Linked DNA regions of Rhinolophus ferrumequinum. The protein of the gene in region 1 purifies or fractionates together with the protein of each later gene. This does not show direct contact. Links are inferred from orthologs where the notes say so. Each region holds a gene or a part of one and is shown on either strand. Other genes may lie near its edges.

Region 1 (8,091 bases):
CTTAAATTTGTGCGCTGGGGAGACCATAGAGAGCCGGGGAGACCATAGAGAGCCAGGCAGCCGTGGTCTCATGGTCTCTGCCCTCGTGGAGCTCCCAGTCAAGTGGGAGTGCTAGACAGTATAAACAGAACTCAGCCAACTGACTACTTGATATTCACTTGGGACGGGCCCCGCCCCACAGGAGTGGTACAGACCATCACATAGCAGGGAGGTTAGGGGAGGCTTCTGATCCAGTGGCCTGTAAGCTGGGCCAGAGGGTGAAGGTGAGGGACACCGTGGTCCAGGCAGAGGGCACAGCAAGCTGCAGGCCTCGAGGCAGGAAAAGAATGAGGTGGGTTTGAGGCACCAAAAAGGCCTGTGTAGCTGGAGCACAGTAGGCAAAGAGAAATGTCATGAAGTGAGGCTGGTCGGGGACAGATAATCGCACATGGCTTCTTATGCCAAATTGTGAATTTTAGACTTGAGCTTAACCTCGCTTTGATCATTTGTGTCTCTCACTTTTCCCCCCTTCCACACACTCACAGAGAAGTGCAGACATCATAAGTGTACAGCTTGATGAATATTCCCAAACTGCACACACCTTTGTGCAGTTTTTGCTTTTGATCAGCAAAAATTAAAGTGTGAAGAACCTCATGGTTTTGTGATTGCTTCGAGAGGCTTTAAGACCCCTTAAAAATTGAATATATTACTACCAGGTGTTGCCTTCCCTTTTTTTTTTTTTAAACCGTCGTCTTATGGGAAAAACTTTTTTCCTGTAATTTGATAATTTATCGTATTTCCTGATAGTAATAGTCTCGTAATGTTCTTCATATAGGTCAGATTGAGTTGTACACGCACCTGCCCGTGATGAAACAGCTGGTCAAGCAGCTAGAACAGTGGGAGTTCCGAGTCTGTGGAGTTTTTCTGGTTGACTCTCAGTTTATGGTGGAGTCGTTCAAGGTTTGATGATAAATCTGTTGTTGATTTTTCAGTTCTGGGTACAAGCAGATGATAGTCTCCTTTAATCATTGTGTGATTCTGAACATTTCACAAACTATACTCCAGAATGATTCAGTATCCCTTATTATTAAATTATTATAATAATGTATTTTTAATTCATGTGATAAATTATGATATTATATAGATTTGGGGGAATTAGAAAAATGAGGCAGATAAAAGTATTTTTAATTTTCTGAGGAACTTTTGTCTCGTTTGTGAACTATCTAAAACTGTATTTCTCATTTAGTAGCTCTTAAGGAATTTTCAATGGAAAGGTTAAAGATACAGTCTGAAATGAGATTTGTGATCACTGTAGATTAAATCTACATCTTCCTTCCTTATCCTCACCTTTGAAAACCAAGGGTCAACCATCTGATGAGTGGACCGTCTTATGTTTAGGATTAGCGTGTCTTTGACTTTTCTTCCAGGGAGGAGCAGAAGCCTCTCTTTTATACAGAGACCCGGGAGCTTTGTGGGCACCAGTTGATTCATCTTCCCTTTCCTGTTTCCTCCTTCAGTTTATTTCTGGCATCTTGGCAGCGCTGAGCGCTATGATCTCTCTAGAAATTCCACAAGTTAACATCATGACAAAAATGGATCTGCTGAGTAAGAAAGCGAAAAAAGAAATTGAGAAGTGAGTTCATGTCTTCCATTGTCATCAGATCTCAATTGCAGAGATGAATCTTCTAAACTTTGTTTACATGTGACGTTCTGTCAGTCTATAAATCCAATTTCCTGATTTATTCTTCCTTTAATTCATCATCTCTTTTTCACTTTTAAAGGTTTCTAGATCCAGACATGTATTCTTTATTAGATGATTCTACAAGTGACTTAAGAAGCAAAAAATTCAAAAAATTGACTAAAGCTATATGTGGACTGGTAAGCTTCTTAAGTTGTTGTTGTCGTTTTTCAATGCCCTGGTTAGTAGGTGTTTACTGGTTTCTAGTCAGTGGCCACCATTATGGAAAGCATGATCCAACCCAATTTCCTTGCAAAGGGGAGGTGGTGGTGAGAGGCTGTGGGCTAGCCAGTCAGCAGTTTAATTTAGAAGCAGTTATTGGCAGTAGCCAAAAACTTAACTGACATGTCTATTATTCCAAGCCATATTGGGAGCTCAGAACTGCCCTTTTGAAATTTCCAGTGGTTGTTGAATTCAGATAAATGCTTATTAAATAGTGTCTAGTTAAGTAATAAGTTGAGTGTTCTAAGTAGGTCCGAGGTCAGAAAAACATTGATTTGCTGTCATTCTGTCACTGTCTATCTCTACCCCCTCACACACAAATGGTTTAATCAGGAGTATAAATGGTTATAAAACGCAAATATAAGTTGAAAATTAAGTATTTTGCACAATTTCTGAATGACCCTTTCTGAAATCCCCAATTTGTAGATTGACGACTACAGCATGGTTCGATTTTTGCCATACGATCAGTCAGATGAAGAAAGCATGAATATTGTATTACAGCATATTGATTTTGCCATTCAGTATGGAGAAGACTTGGAATTTAAAGAACCAAAGGTAATTTCTGGTTTAGGGTGTTTATTGGCTTTTGGTAGAAATGTTTGTCGGCACTCCCTGGCATCCTATATAACCCCAGGAACTCAATTTTTGTCTCAGTGGCAGCAATAACCTGGGCTTTTCTGGGTGATCTCTGAAACTGACACCTGAGCTCAACGAGCAGTATCACTTTTACTCTACTTTTTTTTGAGGCAATGTTACTGAGTTATGTTTCTTTATACTCAGAGCTTGGGGTATATGCAAAGAGGAAGTAAAATCCAATTGAACTTGGACTGCTGTCACATGTGTCAGTGGAAAGACTATTAATGGTTATTGTCAATAGGGCACAACTTAGTTGAGAATCGGCGTGAGTAAACTCTGTGAAAAATGCTCCTAATGAGAGAGAAGCACTTACTACCACATATCTGGAAATAGTCTATCAGTCATGCCTTTGTTACTATTAACTATTACCTGTGAGTAACATCTGGAGTGGTGCTGGGTGTTTGCTCCTTACAGAGCATTACCTGAAAAATATATAAACACATACTAGGTCTGAGGGGAAATGAATGTATGTTCTATTTTGTGTTTCCTTTGTGTCAGGAACATGAAGATGAGTCTTCTAGGTTTGATGAATATTTTCAAGAACACCAGAATGAATAAAGAGTTTACTAAAAAGTGACTATGTATGTGAAGAGCTTGTGGCTGAAACATCAGAACATTCTTCTCAAAGGATGCAATACAAGAAAGCTACTTATTTTAATGAAAAAAAATAATACTTGGCTGTTTATCAGCAGCATGCTTGAATCAGGTTCTTAGTTATTCTTGAAACTACTGCTGTTTAAAGTGGAGTCTTGTACTAATATTTTTACAGCACAATTTAGATTTTAAAAGTTGAAATTGAAATGACTGCACATAGATTTGCATATAATATAAATCAGCACCTGTGGTACAATTAAGACCTGTAAACAGTTTGATTTTTGTTATTTTTGAACCTTTTTTTGGAGGGACTGGAATTGTTTTAACAAAATATACATATGTGTGTCTAGAGGAAAAAAGTTGGAAGAATATAGATAAGGCCATTGTTTATCCGTATCTTCCAGTTTTGCTACATTGAAAATGTATTATTTGTATAATTAAAAAATGAAAAGTAACTATGTTTTAAGATAAATATGTATATAAATAAAAGAAATAGCACTGACCTTTCATTACAGTCTTGTTCTCCAGTCAGAAATTGAAATACTCAGCCAGGGCAAATTTTTGAATGAGTAAATTTCCCCAAGTAGGGGAGCTTGACATGGTTCTTCCGACAAATTTACCAGTGGGTGCCAGGCACTGGGAAGCATGCAAGGCAGACAAAACCTTACTCTCATGGAGTTGACATGTTGGGCCCTTGAGACTAACCATAAACAAGGAAGCCTCTGATAAGGAATAGGAAGAAAACTAATGAAATGGAGAGTGACTAACAGGCTGCTTTGGGCTCATTGTCAAGGCTCTTCCTAAAAGGTGCTGTTTGGCCAGAGGCCTAAATGAGAAATCCATTATGGGAACATGGGGCAAAGTCCCCATGAGGGACTGGGAGAAGAAATGGCCCCAAGCAGCAGTGAACTTGGCTTTTATCATGAGTTGCTTTCCAGTAATAGTTTAAAAATTCCTGAGTCTTTAGTATATTCCAGGCATGTAAGTTCTAAGCACTTTGCATGCAATTCATTTCACCTTCACGAAACTGAGGTAAGTACTGTTATCTCCATTTTTCAGATGAGGAAACTGACACACAGGTAAATTAACTTGCCCAAAATTACACAGCCAATAAATGTTGGAGTTGGGAATCTAACTCAGAGTCAGTTTCTCAACCATCACACAGAATTACAGTACAGAATAATGCACAATTCCCTCTCACTGTGCTCTCCCCATTTTTAAAACCAGTGGTTTGGTCATACCCCTGAAAAACCAGTTATCCACTGCAAACGAAGCTCAGAATGAAAAAGGCTTCAGGGAACTAATACGTGAAATATCGCTATAAACCGCAAAAGCAGTTGAAGAGAATGAAATTTTTGAAATGACAACAACAAAAAAGTTGGGTTCATTCATTCACTGAACAAGTATGCTTACCGTATACCATCACTGTTTTAGACACGGGGTACACAGCAGTGAACAAAACGGACGAAATCACTGCCTTTTTGTTTACATGGATGGGGAGATCGCGGGAAATAAACACCGAAAGTAAACTAAATAAAAGAATCATAAGATTCTTTTAAAAGGGAAAGAAGGATGAGGCAGGGAGTCCAGTGGGGTTGAATTTAAAATAGTATGACAGGGAATGCTTCACTGAAAAGGGGCTCTTTGAAGAAACAAAGGCGAGCACAGATATGTAGCCCCCAAACACACTGCCCGCTCCACGTCTCACGCCTGCGCAACACTCGGTGTTCGGCCCCCCCCCCCCCCCCCCCGGCCCTTTCGGCTCTGCGCAGCCGCAGCAGCCAGCGGCCAGACAGCAAGGCCGGAAGCGCGCGTCCTTCCTCACCGCCCCTTCCGGCTCACTTCCGCCTACCCCGCCCGGGCTGCCAGGCCGGAAGCCCAGCGCTCTAACCCGTTCCTGCTCTTCATCTGGGTTGAAACTCGGGGGCCGCCAAGATGCCGGTAAGGAGCCCGAGTCAGGGGTGTGGGGAGACGGCGAGAACTGGGGAGAGCGGCGGACATCGTGCGTGAGCTGAGAGAAGTGGGCCAAGCTGGGCAGAGGGAGCGGGGGACAGAACGGGAGAGGGGAGGGGGCCAGTTCTTGTAGGATTGGGGCGGCCTGATAGTGTCGGCCAGGAGGGGCGGAGGCGCGGCAGAGTGGGCGTGCAGAGGGGGTTGCTTCAGCCCTTCCGGCCCCCTTCTCTCCAATCCCAACCCTGTCTTTGCCCCTTCTGCAAGCCCCCAACTCCGGCAGTGTCCCCAAAACGTCAACAGAGCCGCGAGGGCTTCGCTTTTTAGTTTTCATTTTTCAAGTCCAGGGTCTGGCTTCTCCTTTTTTCTGAAGACCCACTTCCTCCGTCCCAGGGGGTGGGTCCCTTCCGCTGCTTGTCATTTGTCAGACCCACTTCCCTGTTGCGCCGGCAGTGGCGGCCACCAGAGCCAACTCGAGGTATGCGCCCGGTTTCCAAATGTTTCTATTTTCTTGTGCATCAGAGTAGGAGAAAAATTGGTGGTGTAGTTTCTCTTCATTTCTGGCAGCCAGTCTGCGAGGTAGTTTATCGCCCTTACAGCCTCCATTTTGCAGATTAGGTAAACAGAGGTTCAACAACATGTGATTATTCAGACATTACTGAGCACGGACTGCATGCTGAGCACTGTTACAACAGTGAATAAAGCCAACAAATCCCTGCTTTTAAGCAGTTTACATTTTAATGGGGAAGCAGACACATGTAAATAAAATAAAGGAGATCGTTTCTAATAATGACAAATGCTATGAAGGAAATAGATGGGTAACAAGACAGTAGCTGGTGAAAGGCAGGGTGCAGGCTGCTTTAGATGAAGCATACGTGTGATAAAAAGAAGCAGGCCATCGTCATAAATACTTTATGAAGCATATAGCTACCATTTGACTCGATATGTGCCAGGCAGGCCCTGAGCTACACACGTTATATAAATTATCCCATTTAATCCTTACAGTGAGCCTATGAGGTAGATATATTATTGGTTTCACATTTTGCAGAGGAGGGAGGAAACCGAGGCTCAGAGAAGTTAAGTAATTTCCCTAAGGTTGCACACTAGTGCAAAGACTTTGATAAAGTCCGATTTTAAACCAGGACGCTAAAGCCCTTTGCTCATTCCATTTGCACATAGAGCACCCTGGACTTCCCCTTTGTTACTTATTTAATATCTGTCTTCTCTGTTAGCCAAAAGTTCTTTAAAAATGGAGACCGTACTGGTCTTGTATACCATTATATCACCGTGCCTTACACTTAGAAGGTGCTTAGTAATCATTTGGTGACTGACTGAATGAATATATGAATGGGGCCCATGTCTTCTTTAAAAAGTTAGACATCTTATAAAAGGCAGAACGAGGACTCATATACAAGTTGCTCTCACAAATATGATTTTTCCCCCCTCTCATCCTTTAATTCACACCTACCCATTGAAAGCAGTATATCTCTTCATTTTGCAAATTTGGAAACCAGCTAAGAGAAGAAAAATGGTATCTCGATCAAAGACAGAAAGCCAGAAAATGGCAGCGCTGAAAAGCCAGTGCTTGGGCTCTGGCTTAACAACAGCTGGGGGGTGGGTACCTCTGATCTATATGGTGTTTGCCTATTTCTGTGATGTAAATACTCCCATCAGTTACCAGTGTGATGTCACTGAACGTGGAATTGAAAGAAATGCACAGTAGTACCACATTATATAGTATTTCCGCCCTAAAGATACAAAAGGCATGAATAACTTCAAGCTCACAGACAACAGTATTTTTTAATAGGAAGTAATGAATTTTGAGTATTTATTATCTTTGTTTTTAATGTAATTTATTGCAAATTTATATAAGTTTATTTTTAATAACAGCTGTGTTCAACAACCAGCTTGGCTCAAAAATTCCTAGAAATTTAACAGTTGGTTTTCATGAGCCAGTAAGAGCCAGCTCCAGCACACAGCTGCCACCATCTCTTCTCCCTCTTCCTCTAGTTAATCTGGGGTGGGTTACTCTTTTTTTTTTCCCTTTCGGAGAAAAACACTTCTCTGCCCTGCTGACGTTTGCTCTCTTTCTGTTTCTGTATTACCTGGCGTGCCAATACAGGCTTACCACTCTTCTCTCATGGACCCCGACACCAAGCTGATTGGAAACATGGCACTGTTGCCTATCAGAAGTCAGTTCAAAGGACCCGCCCCTAGAGAGAGTAAGTCGAAACCCCTTTCTGTTATTTTCAGATTTTGGTATGAAACATCGAACAACCCTCTGACATCAAATCAGGGAAATTCTTAGCTCAGGCCTCTGTTTCACATTGCTCCTGTATTTTCTGTTTGCTTGGTGGATATTGCTTTTTAGGCCTTTCAAGATATAGGTATATGTTGTATCTAATAGGAAACTGTTATTGCTGCTGATTTCTCCAGGACATTTTGTTGAGGAGAAAGAAAATGTGCTTAATTCTCTACACAGTTTTCTGTCGTCACTGTCAGTTCTTACAAACTAGTGCTGCTACTTGTAAAGAATGCCATGTCCCTACCCCTTATCTGTCATTAAGCTGGAAAAACACAAAACATATTTTAACCTCTTCCCCATCTAAATCTACTTTCTTGATCGATTTTTCAGGATCTCCATATTTAGCAACACCTCGATCTTAAATCTGAAGCGTCCTATGTAACATTACTCATTTCTTCTCTTGCTTTTCTGAATTACATAATTCTGCTTTCTTTCTTGGTACTCCTTTTTAAATCATTTTTTACTGTTCAGAAAGCCCCATTCTTTTCAGACCTTGAGACTCTTCTGACACATTCTTAGATACTCTGCCAACAGTGTAATTTGTATTATATTAGACATGGTTTCCCTACATACAGAAAGGGTCTGCACTGAATTCCATTCATGGTTTCCAAGACCACGGTTTTAATTACCAATTTTGTACTGATGTCATCTCCATCCCTTTGCTAGA
Region 2 (7,922 bases), on another chromosome or scaffold:
AGGGAGGTGTTTATAACATTTACCTCATGGGATTGTTATGAAGAGTCAACGTGATGATGTACTGAATGCTTTGTAAGCGAAGACGTTATCAGAACTCAGTTTTCCGTGAGAACTGGGCAGGAAGTGGTTACAAATCAAACCCCAGCACTGTACGGTGGGACAGAAGACCTTAATGAGACGCACATCTCCAGATCACATCACTGGGTCCTGACTCGTAGACATAGGCTTAGGGATTGATTCCTCAGTAGAGGCATAAAGAAGCCCTCAGCCTATTTTGTTGAAGGGAAAAATGACGTGGATTTGAATCAAAAGTGGAAGGGTGCGTGAGCTTTGGACAGAGTCTTGAAGGAGGAGATGGGGTCAGTGAAGAAGAATTCTCTAGACTGAGGGGCCTGCACGAAGACCTGCCAACACAGCGGGCTGGGCACGTGCTCTGCTGTGCCCAGATGTGGCAAGGGGCATCGTGTGAGATGAGATATGAAAGGTGACTCGGGAGCAGATCACAGAGGACCTCGAATGTCATAAGCAGGGTTGGGATCAAATTCTGTAATAATAGAGAGTCTCTCTGAAGGTTTGGGGAAAGTCCCTGAAGGTTTGGGGGAAGGAGGCTGACATGATGTACACACATTCTCTGTTTTGGCAGACACCTCTCAGAGCAGCACTGCTTGCCCCAGAGAAGTCTCAGACAGGCCAAAGCCTGGAGCCAGGGTGGCTGATGGACAGATATGCAGCAGTTCAGTTAAGAGCAGCAGGAAGACAAAAAGCAGGTCTACAGACAAGGGGAGTGGTGGGATGGGGTGAACAGGACGTGGCAGCTGAGTGGTACAGGACACGAGGCCAGAGAGGAGGGGGCGTCCAGGCCAGTGATCGCCCGCCATGGGGGAGGCAGAAACAGAGGACTGTTGATCTGAAGATGGTCAGGTCAACTTACCCACCTTGTGGTTTCGGGTCTGTTACCACCTCTGACACAGTCACCACGGTCTGGCCAATCGGCTGCAGCTGGGACCATTTTCTACCACTCCTGCCAAGACCCCTGGGAGGTCCATTGAGTGCAGTGACAGGCCCTTCCTCTTAAAGGAGAATGCCAGCTACTTTCAAAGGCATGCGGCACTCATTTTTGGGGACTCCTTTCTCTATTTGCATCCTATGGCAACAGAGAACACCCAGATCGCGCTTGGCTCCAGCTCTGTGATTCAAGATTCACAGAGCGGCTGGGTGGGCCGTTTCTGAAGACAGCCTTTCGTTTTGTGTGTTCTTTTTCCTTTTTGGCCCAGCGCAACCAGTTAAGTGCAGGACATTAGGATCACATTGTCCCAGCGCTCACGGACTAAACCCCATTCCATGGACGATCTCCAAGCCCTGATTATTTTATAAAGTAGTCCTCATAGGCATCAAAATGCATCAAAAGGTGTTTACTGAAAGTTCGGCTGAGAGTGGTGCTGGGTTGTGCAGCACTAAGGATAGTAGCTAAGAAAAAGTCACCTCGATGGCCAGAAGAGATGCTGGGTCCTGTACAGGAAGTGTTCTGGTTTCCACGTTTCTGCCTGTTGGGAGGGGAGAGTAGACGGCCATTGTTGGGTAGAAGCACAGTAAAGAGATGCCTTGCTAAAGGAAGCCAACTCAAATGTGCCTCTTGTTCCAAGGAGGGAGAATTTTGCGCAATATATGGGAGGGGGCCAAGCTCCCTTAGCAATGTAATTAATGGCGACTGTACTTACCGTGCTTCTCTCTGGCTGTTCTGCTCTAAGGCACTTGTCAGTGATGCCACCAGTCTCTGATCGATAGGAGTTTACGACCTAAGAAGAATATCACAGAAGAATACGTTGTACCATACAGAAGAACAGCACAAAAAGACAAAAAACGGTAAGAACACTAACACAGGAATGATACATAATATCCACTTGTATTTGCTTAAAATATTCAAGATACCAGATAAAAAAAGCACGTAATAGCAAGTGTGATGTGTAATTGAGAGGTTTAAAGATTGCCTAAAGACTTTCATTTGTTCAATAGCTATTCCTTGAGTGGCTACAGAGAGGCCAGGCAGTGCCCGATGAAGATAAAAAATGTATCCAACAGTTGTACTCTTAGACAGTTCTCATCTTAGTAGACAGTTCTACGCTTCTCCTGGGGTACTGGGGTGATGGAAGTGTGACCATTATGATGCCACCCAATAAGTACAAACGTGGAAGGATTCGCTGGCTCTCTCGGAGCAGAGGAGAGTGACAGTCTTTTGTGAAACTGAGGGACACCTTCACAGAGGTGGCAAAACTCCAGCAGGGGGAAGAGGAAGGTTTGTTTAAACGACAGTTCCAAGCAGAGGCTAGAGGAGTGAAAGGGCATAGAATGAGTGGGAGAAAATGGTTTAAGTAGGAAAATTATGAGTGAGGCAGAAACTATTGGCTGTCATTCCCCTTCCTGCTGATCAAACCCGACTCCAGTCAGGTACTGGCAGCCATATGCTTCAGAGGACACAAGACCCCCGTCCAGCCCGAGGGGGTCACCCTTCATAGTCTAAGCTGATCACAGTACCTCGGTTCCCTTTACCAATGGCTGCTGGTGTTATGAGGTGAACTGTCCCCGAGAAAGACATGTTAAAATCCTAAAACCTGGTATAATAAATGGGATCTGATCTGGTCTTTCTAGGCCTTTGCAGCTGTATTAAATTAAGATGAGGTCATTAAGGTAGCCCTCAATCCAGTAGGACTAGTATCCTTATAAGAAGAGGAGAACGCCACATGAATGCAGACATATGAGCTGGGAGAATAGCCTGTGACGTTGGAAACTGAGATCGGAGCGATGCACCTACCCGCCAACGAACGACAAGGATTATGGACAACCTGCAGAACCTGGGAGAGAGGCATTGTCCCCTGGGGCCTGCAGAGAGGGCAGGGCCCTGCGCACACCTTGATTTTGGCCTTCTACTCTCCAGACCTCTGAGATAGTAAGTGCCATAGTTTAAAGCCGCCCAGTTTGTAGGTAATTGTTACAATTGTTACATTTGCTTTGTTACAGCAGCCCCTATTGGAGCCAGGTGAATGGAGCCAGGTGAATAAGCTAGGGCCTTCTGGGAAAGTTTCCTTCCTCTCTCTCTTAGAAAGGAATCTGACGGGGCATTTCTCCCCCATTTTTGCCCATTGCAGTTGGTGTATGGAGCAGCTGTTGCAGCCATCTCACATCGCCAAGGGGGTAAGTCTGAGGACAACGGCCAATGTGCAAACCTGGTAGAACAAAACGCACAGGCCCACACTGATGACACCTGTGGTTGAGTTACCCTGGAATTTCTGGATTTCCGATCCTATGACATAATAACATTTGCTCATTCCTTGGGCTACCTTAAGTTTTCTGTTACCTGCCTTTGAAAACATCTTAACTGATACCTCTAAAGTTAGGGGTGTCCAGAGGAAGGAATGGAAGTCAGGAAATCTTTTATTTCCTACCAGCTTCTGACCATGGCCAGCACTTCCAATACGTCGTAGGCAGTGGGGACACTCCCCCAAAGGGACTTTCTTTATAATTAGCCCGTCCCAAGTCCCTATAAAGGCTTCTTACCTGGTGAAGTGGGCTGGGCCACCTATGAGTCTCGAGGTCCTCCTGGCCTTTGTACATGTTTCCCACCCAGAGACACGCAACTGCCCCACACTGTCCACCAGGGAGCTCTTCTCTACCCACTCACTGCGGTTCAGCTCAGAGCCCATGGCTTTGGGAAGGCTCCACTGACTGCCATGTCAGGGTTAGGGGCTCTGTGAGTGGTTTTCTGGGTACCCTGGGCTTGGCCATCCAGGCATCACCACACTAGTGCAACTGCCTGTAGACTGTTGCTTTCTCTCACTAGATTCTGACACGTTGAGTATGTATCCTGCTCACCATTTCATGCCCCATCTAACACAAGGCCTTTACTTCTTCTAGGGAAAAAAAAACCACAATGCTTTTAATACTACATAGTTCAGTTACATGAAATGACATCTCCAGAAAGCTCCTACAGGTTAACGTCAAGAATTTATGGAAAAAAAGAATTTACGAGAGGACACACAGCAGGAAGCAAGTGGGACTTTTAGTACCTTTATGACGTGGTAGGTGCTTGACCACTCTGGTCCCTGGTCTCAGTAAGAACTTTGGGATGATTCCATCTTTGATACTTGAAAAGATTTTCCCCGAATATAATGACCTTGATGTGGTGTTAATTCAATCTAAGGACATTCATTCCTTCATGCTGGCCATGCCTTTGTTTTGGATATTTCCTTCTGTTACATAACTTCTGCAGTGTTCTGCTAGGTGTAAGTCTACCAGAGTGTCTTTTCTCTGTATGGCGACGTTTATTCATTCATTCAACAAACATTTGGGTGCTTACCATGTATGCACCAAGTCCCCTGCATACCAGTGCAGTCCTGGGTCACCAATGGTAAGCAAACACGAGCTCTAACCTAGGGGAGCCTATAGTCCAGTGAGGGGACAGACGACAAATAAATAGCGAAGGAAAGCAATAGATTCCTGAGATACAGAGTAAGGTGCGAGGGGACAACTTCCCCGAGGTGACATTCGAGCCCAGACTTACAGGATGAGAAGGAACCAGGGAGACTTACAGATGAGGAGCCAGGCCTCGGAAACCCGGTCACGTTCACGGTAAGTCAGTTAAAAATAGTCCCCAATCTCTTCAAGGTTGGGCGTGTGGGCAAGGAAGCCGCGCCGCCAGCACTAAAGATGGCGGGGCGGGGGCGGGGCCTGGAGTGCCCGCGCCGTGATTGGCCGGATGGAGTGGCGTCACGTGGGCGGCCGCCGAGCATCCGGGCTCCCGCGGCGGCGCTGCGGAGGCTCCCGGGAGCCGGCTGCGCGGGGCAAGCGCGGCGAGCGGACGGCGGCGGGGCCTCCGGGGCCGTCGCGTGGGCCTAGCGGCGCGCGTGCCGAGCATGGCGGGCTGCCTGCCTCCCTGCGTGGTGGACTGCGGCACCGGGTAAGAGCCGCTGGCGCCCAGCCCGCTCCCGCCCCGGCGCCAGGCACCTGCCCCGCGCCCGCCCTCGCTCACCTGGAGGCCGAGCTGCGCCCGCGCGGCTCCCCGTCCCCGCCCCGCTCCTCTAGAGCCGGCAGCGCCGCGCGCCCCGGCCCCTCACCTTGACCGGGGACAGTCGAGGCAGACGTCCCCCGGCTCGCTCGCCTCCCGCACCGCCCTCGCGCCGGGCGGGCGCCCCCTGGCCTCAGCCTCCCGGGGAGGCCGGCGTCCGGCGGGTCGCTGCAGGCGCTGCACGTCGTGTGCCTCCCGCCCACCTCCCGGGGCCCTCGCCGGGCCCCCGCGTGCGTGCCGTGTCCGCCGGCTGAGGGTTCTCGCCCACCGACTTGGGGAGCTTTTCCCATCGTGACCAACTTGACACCTTTTTTGCAGCGCACTCTGCTCTCTCCCGGGACTGAATGGCTCACCCAGGCGACGCCCTCGCTTTAGTCGGTGTAGATTTGCCTTTTCGCTTAAAAAGGTTAAAAAAAAGGGTGGGGGGGGGGAGGGCCCCATTTTGAAACACAGAAAGTTTACATTGGGGAAAGCCTATTTGTGGTGTAGTTTTATTGTCCCTTTACTGTCTGGGTGTGATTTGCTTCTTTTGACGTTAAGATGTGCAGAAGAGACCGTTGGAAATGCCCTGTGCTTGCCGTGGTCCACGCTTAGCTGGTCTTGCGAAGGTGCTTACGGAGCCCGTCTCGCCGGTCGTTTGGAAATGCAAGGTTGCCTGCTTGCTTTCTAGATGAAGTACTGGTTAAAATAGCCTAGAAGTGATGTAGCCTCTTAAAGAGTTTTCAAGACGGGGTTGTAATCACTTCTGTCACAAAATGTTCCATGGCACGTTGCTCTCAGCCTTGATTCTTTTCTATGGAGAAACGCAGTTGGTTTGGTTTCCTTGACAACCTTGTGGGGGTGTCTTCTTTAGTTTGCTGCAGTCCATCTCCTACTGATTCTTTTTTCCTTTTGCTGCTGAAGCCACCGGTAGTGGTTACAGGCTGGAAAAAACACCCACAAAAATAAACTGCCTCTTTGCCTCTATACTAAGCTTTTTGAAATACGCACTGTACCAGAAGTCGTTTTGCTACCCAACATACAAGCCCAAATCAGCGCTGGTATTAACACCCCCAATTGTTAACTCCCTTACGCATCCCCTCCCACAAGCTAGTGTTCACCCCACACCCACTTGAGGTCTGCTTGTGTCAAGACTGAAGGCAACAGGTAAAAGTATTTTTCATTCCCAAAATGATTTTTGCTTTTGTATTTCTGGTCTTGTCAAACTGTTGGAATACAAGGCATGTCTTGGCGATAGGAACACAATAATGCTCACAGAGTTTGTCACCTTTAATATTAGTAAGCCGAGGGCCTAACTCATCATTCTTGCTATAAATATCCAAAATGGGGTGCCCAGTTTTGACCTTCAGAGGTACGTGATAAGAGTAACTTTGCTCTGTCCGAGGTGTAACTTCAGTATGTCATTGTTTTATGGCCCCAAGTCATGTTCTTGTCTCCAAGCTGCCATAGGCTTTGGTGTCAACTTAGAAACAGTGGCACAGAATCTTCCCAGTGGGTCTCACGTGGACATACTCTGTCATGGCAACAACTGGTCACTCATGAAGTCCTAGTGTCCAGTGTATGGCCAGAAGGAGCAGCCTGGAAGAGCCTTAATTTACTGAGAGCATATAAGTAGTTCTTACATTTCCCGGAGAGTTAAAATGGTTTTTGGATTGACTTTTACCTCAAAATAGGATAAAAAGGGGTGACATGCAGATAAAAGCAACCACAGCCAAGGAGAAGAGTGGGCCTGGGGAGTCCCCGAAGCTGTGGGCCGGTGGCTGCTGTAGTTTAGCCTCACATTTGGCCTTCGTCTTCCTGTCTGACAAAATTGTAAGAGCCATCAGCAGTTGTGTAATTCCTGTCATCAGGAAGGGAGAAAAAGGCCCGTTACTCTGGTGAAAGAGCTTTGTGTAGTACTGAATTCTAGAATAAAAATTCACACTGAACTATACATGGTAGACACTAATGATTTATTGGACAGCGTGCTAAAGAGTATTTGTTAGAGCAAAATACATTCCATCCTGGTAGCCTAGCATCCTCTAATAAACCCTGAGACCAGCTCTAACCTACTGAAAAGCTGCAAGAAGTGTACCAAAAAACTATTTGTTCATCCAGTTTCACCAACTATTAACATTTGCTTTATCATTTTCTGTATATCTATATGTATTATTATTTTTCTGAACTGTTTAAGTGTGGTTTTATACCAAAATACTTCAGTGTATACTTTCTGAGAACAAAGAGCTCTCACACAATCACAGGCGAAAGATCGAAATCAGATTTGACATCGTGCGGTAGTGTTCTCTTGTACGCAGTCTGGACTGACACAAATGGCCCCATTTATGTCTTACGGATTCTCACCTCTGCTCCCTCATCTAGCACCACAGACTGTGTTTGCTTGTCATCACGTCTTTGTAGTCTCATTTAACTGGACCAGTTCCTTAGCCTTTTTCTGTCTTTCAAGACATTGACATTTTTGGCAGCCAGTTGTTATGGATAATGTCCCTCAATTTAGGCTCATCGGTGCTTCCTTGTGATAGATATAGGTTATGCATTTTTGTCAGGAATGCCACAGAAGTGACATCAATCCTCCTTAGTGCATCCCGTCAGAAGGCATGTTCTCCCCTCAGTTTTATTGAGATGTAATTGACATGGAACATTGTGTAAGTTTAAGGTATACAATGTGTTGATTTGATACATTTATATGCAAAATGGTTACACATAGTGTCAAGCTAACACTTCCATCACGACACATAATTACTGGTTCTTTTTTGTGGTGAGAACATTTAAGATCTAATCTCTTAGTGACTTTCAAGTACAGTGTTGTTCTCTATAATCACTCTGCTGTCTCCCCAGAACCCCTTCATCTGATCAGAGTGCTTAA

The links. Proteins that work in one complex are often made in the same cells at the same time.
Region 2: the proteins of ARPC3 (region 1) and ACTR3B purify together in Homo sapiens (affinity purification with mass spectrometry; 6 studies listed by BioGRID and IntAct, counting the BioPlex papers as one, with this or other methods). This does not show direct contact. The link is inferred for Rhinolophus ferrumequinum from reciprocal best matches to the Homo sapiens genes ARPC3 and ACTR3B.

What each region holds. Positions count from the first base shown.
Region 1 is NC_046308.1:6,137,178-6,145,268, reverse strand, and holds the start of ARPC3 (actin-related protein 2/3 complex subunit 3), read left to right. Parts: upstream 1-4,971; 5' UTR 4,972-5,104; coding exon 5,105-5,110; intron 5,111-7,241; coding exon 7,242-7,341; intron 7,342-8,091. Other genes in the region: GPN3 (GPN-loop GTPase 3), read left to right, coding at 815-939, 1,497-1,612, 1,761-1,857, 2,366-2,494, 3,074-3,133. UniProt on the Homo sapiens protein: Component of the Arp2/3 complex, a multiprotein complex that mediates actin polymerization upon stimulation by nucleation-promoting factor (NPF).
Region 2 is NC_046309.1:2,856,120-2,864,041, reverse strand, and holds the start of ACTR3B (actin-related protein 3B), read left to right. Parts: upstream 1-4,803; 5' UTR 4,804-4,907; coding exon 4,908-4,951; intron 4,952-7,922. UniProt on the Homo sapiens protein: Plays a role in the organization of the actin cytoskeleton.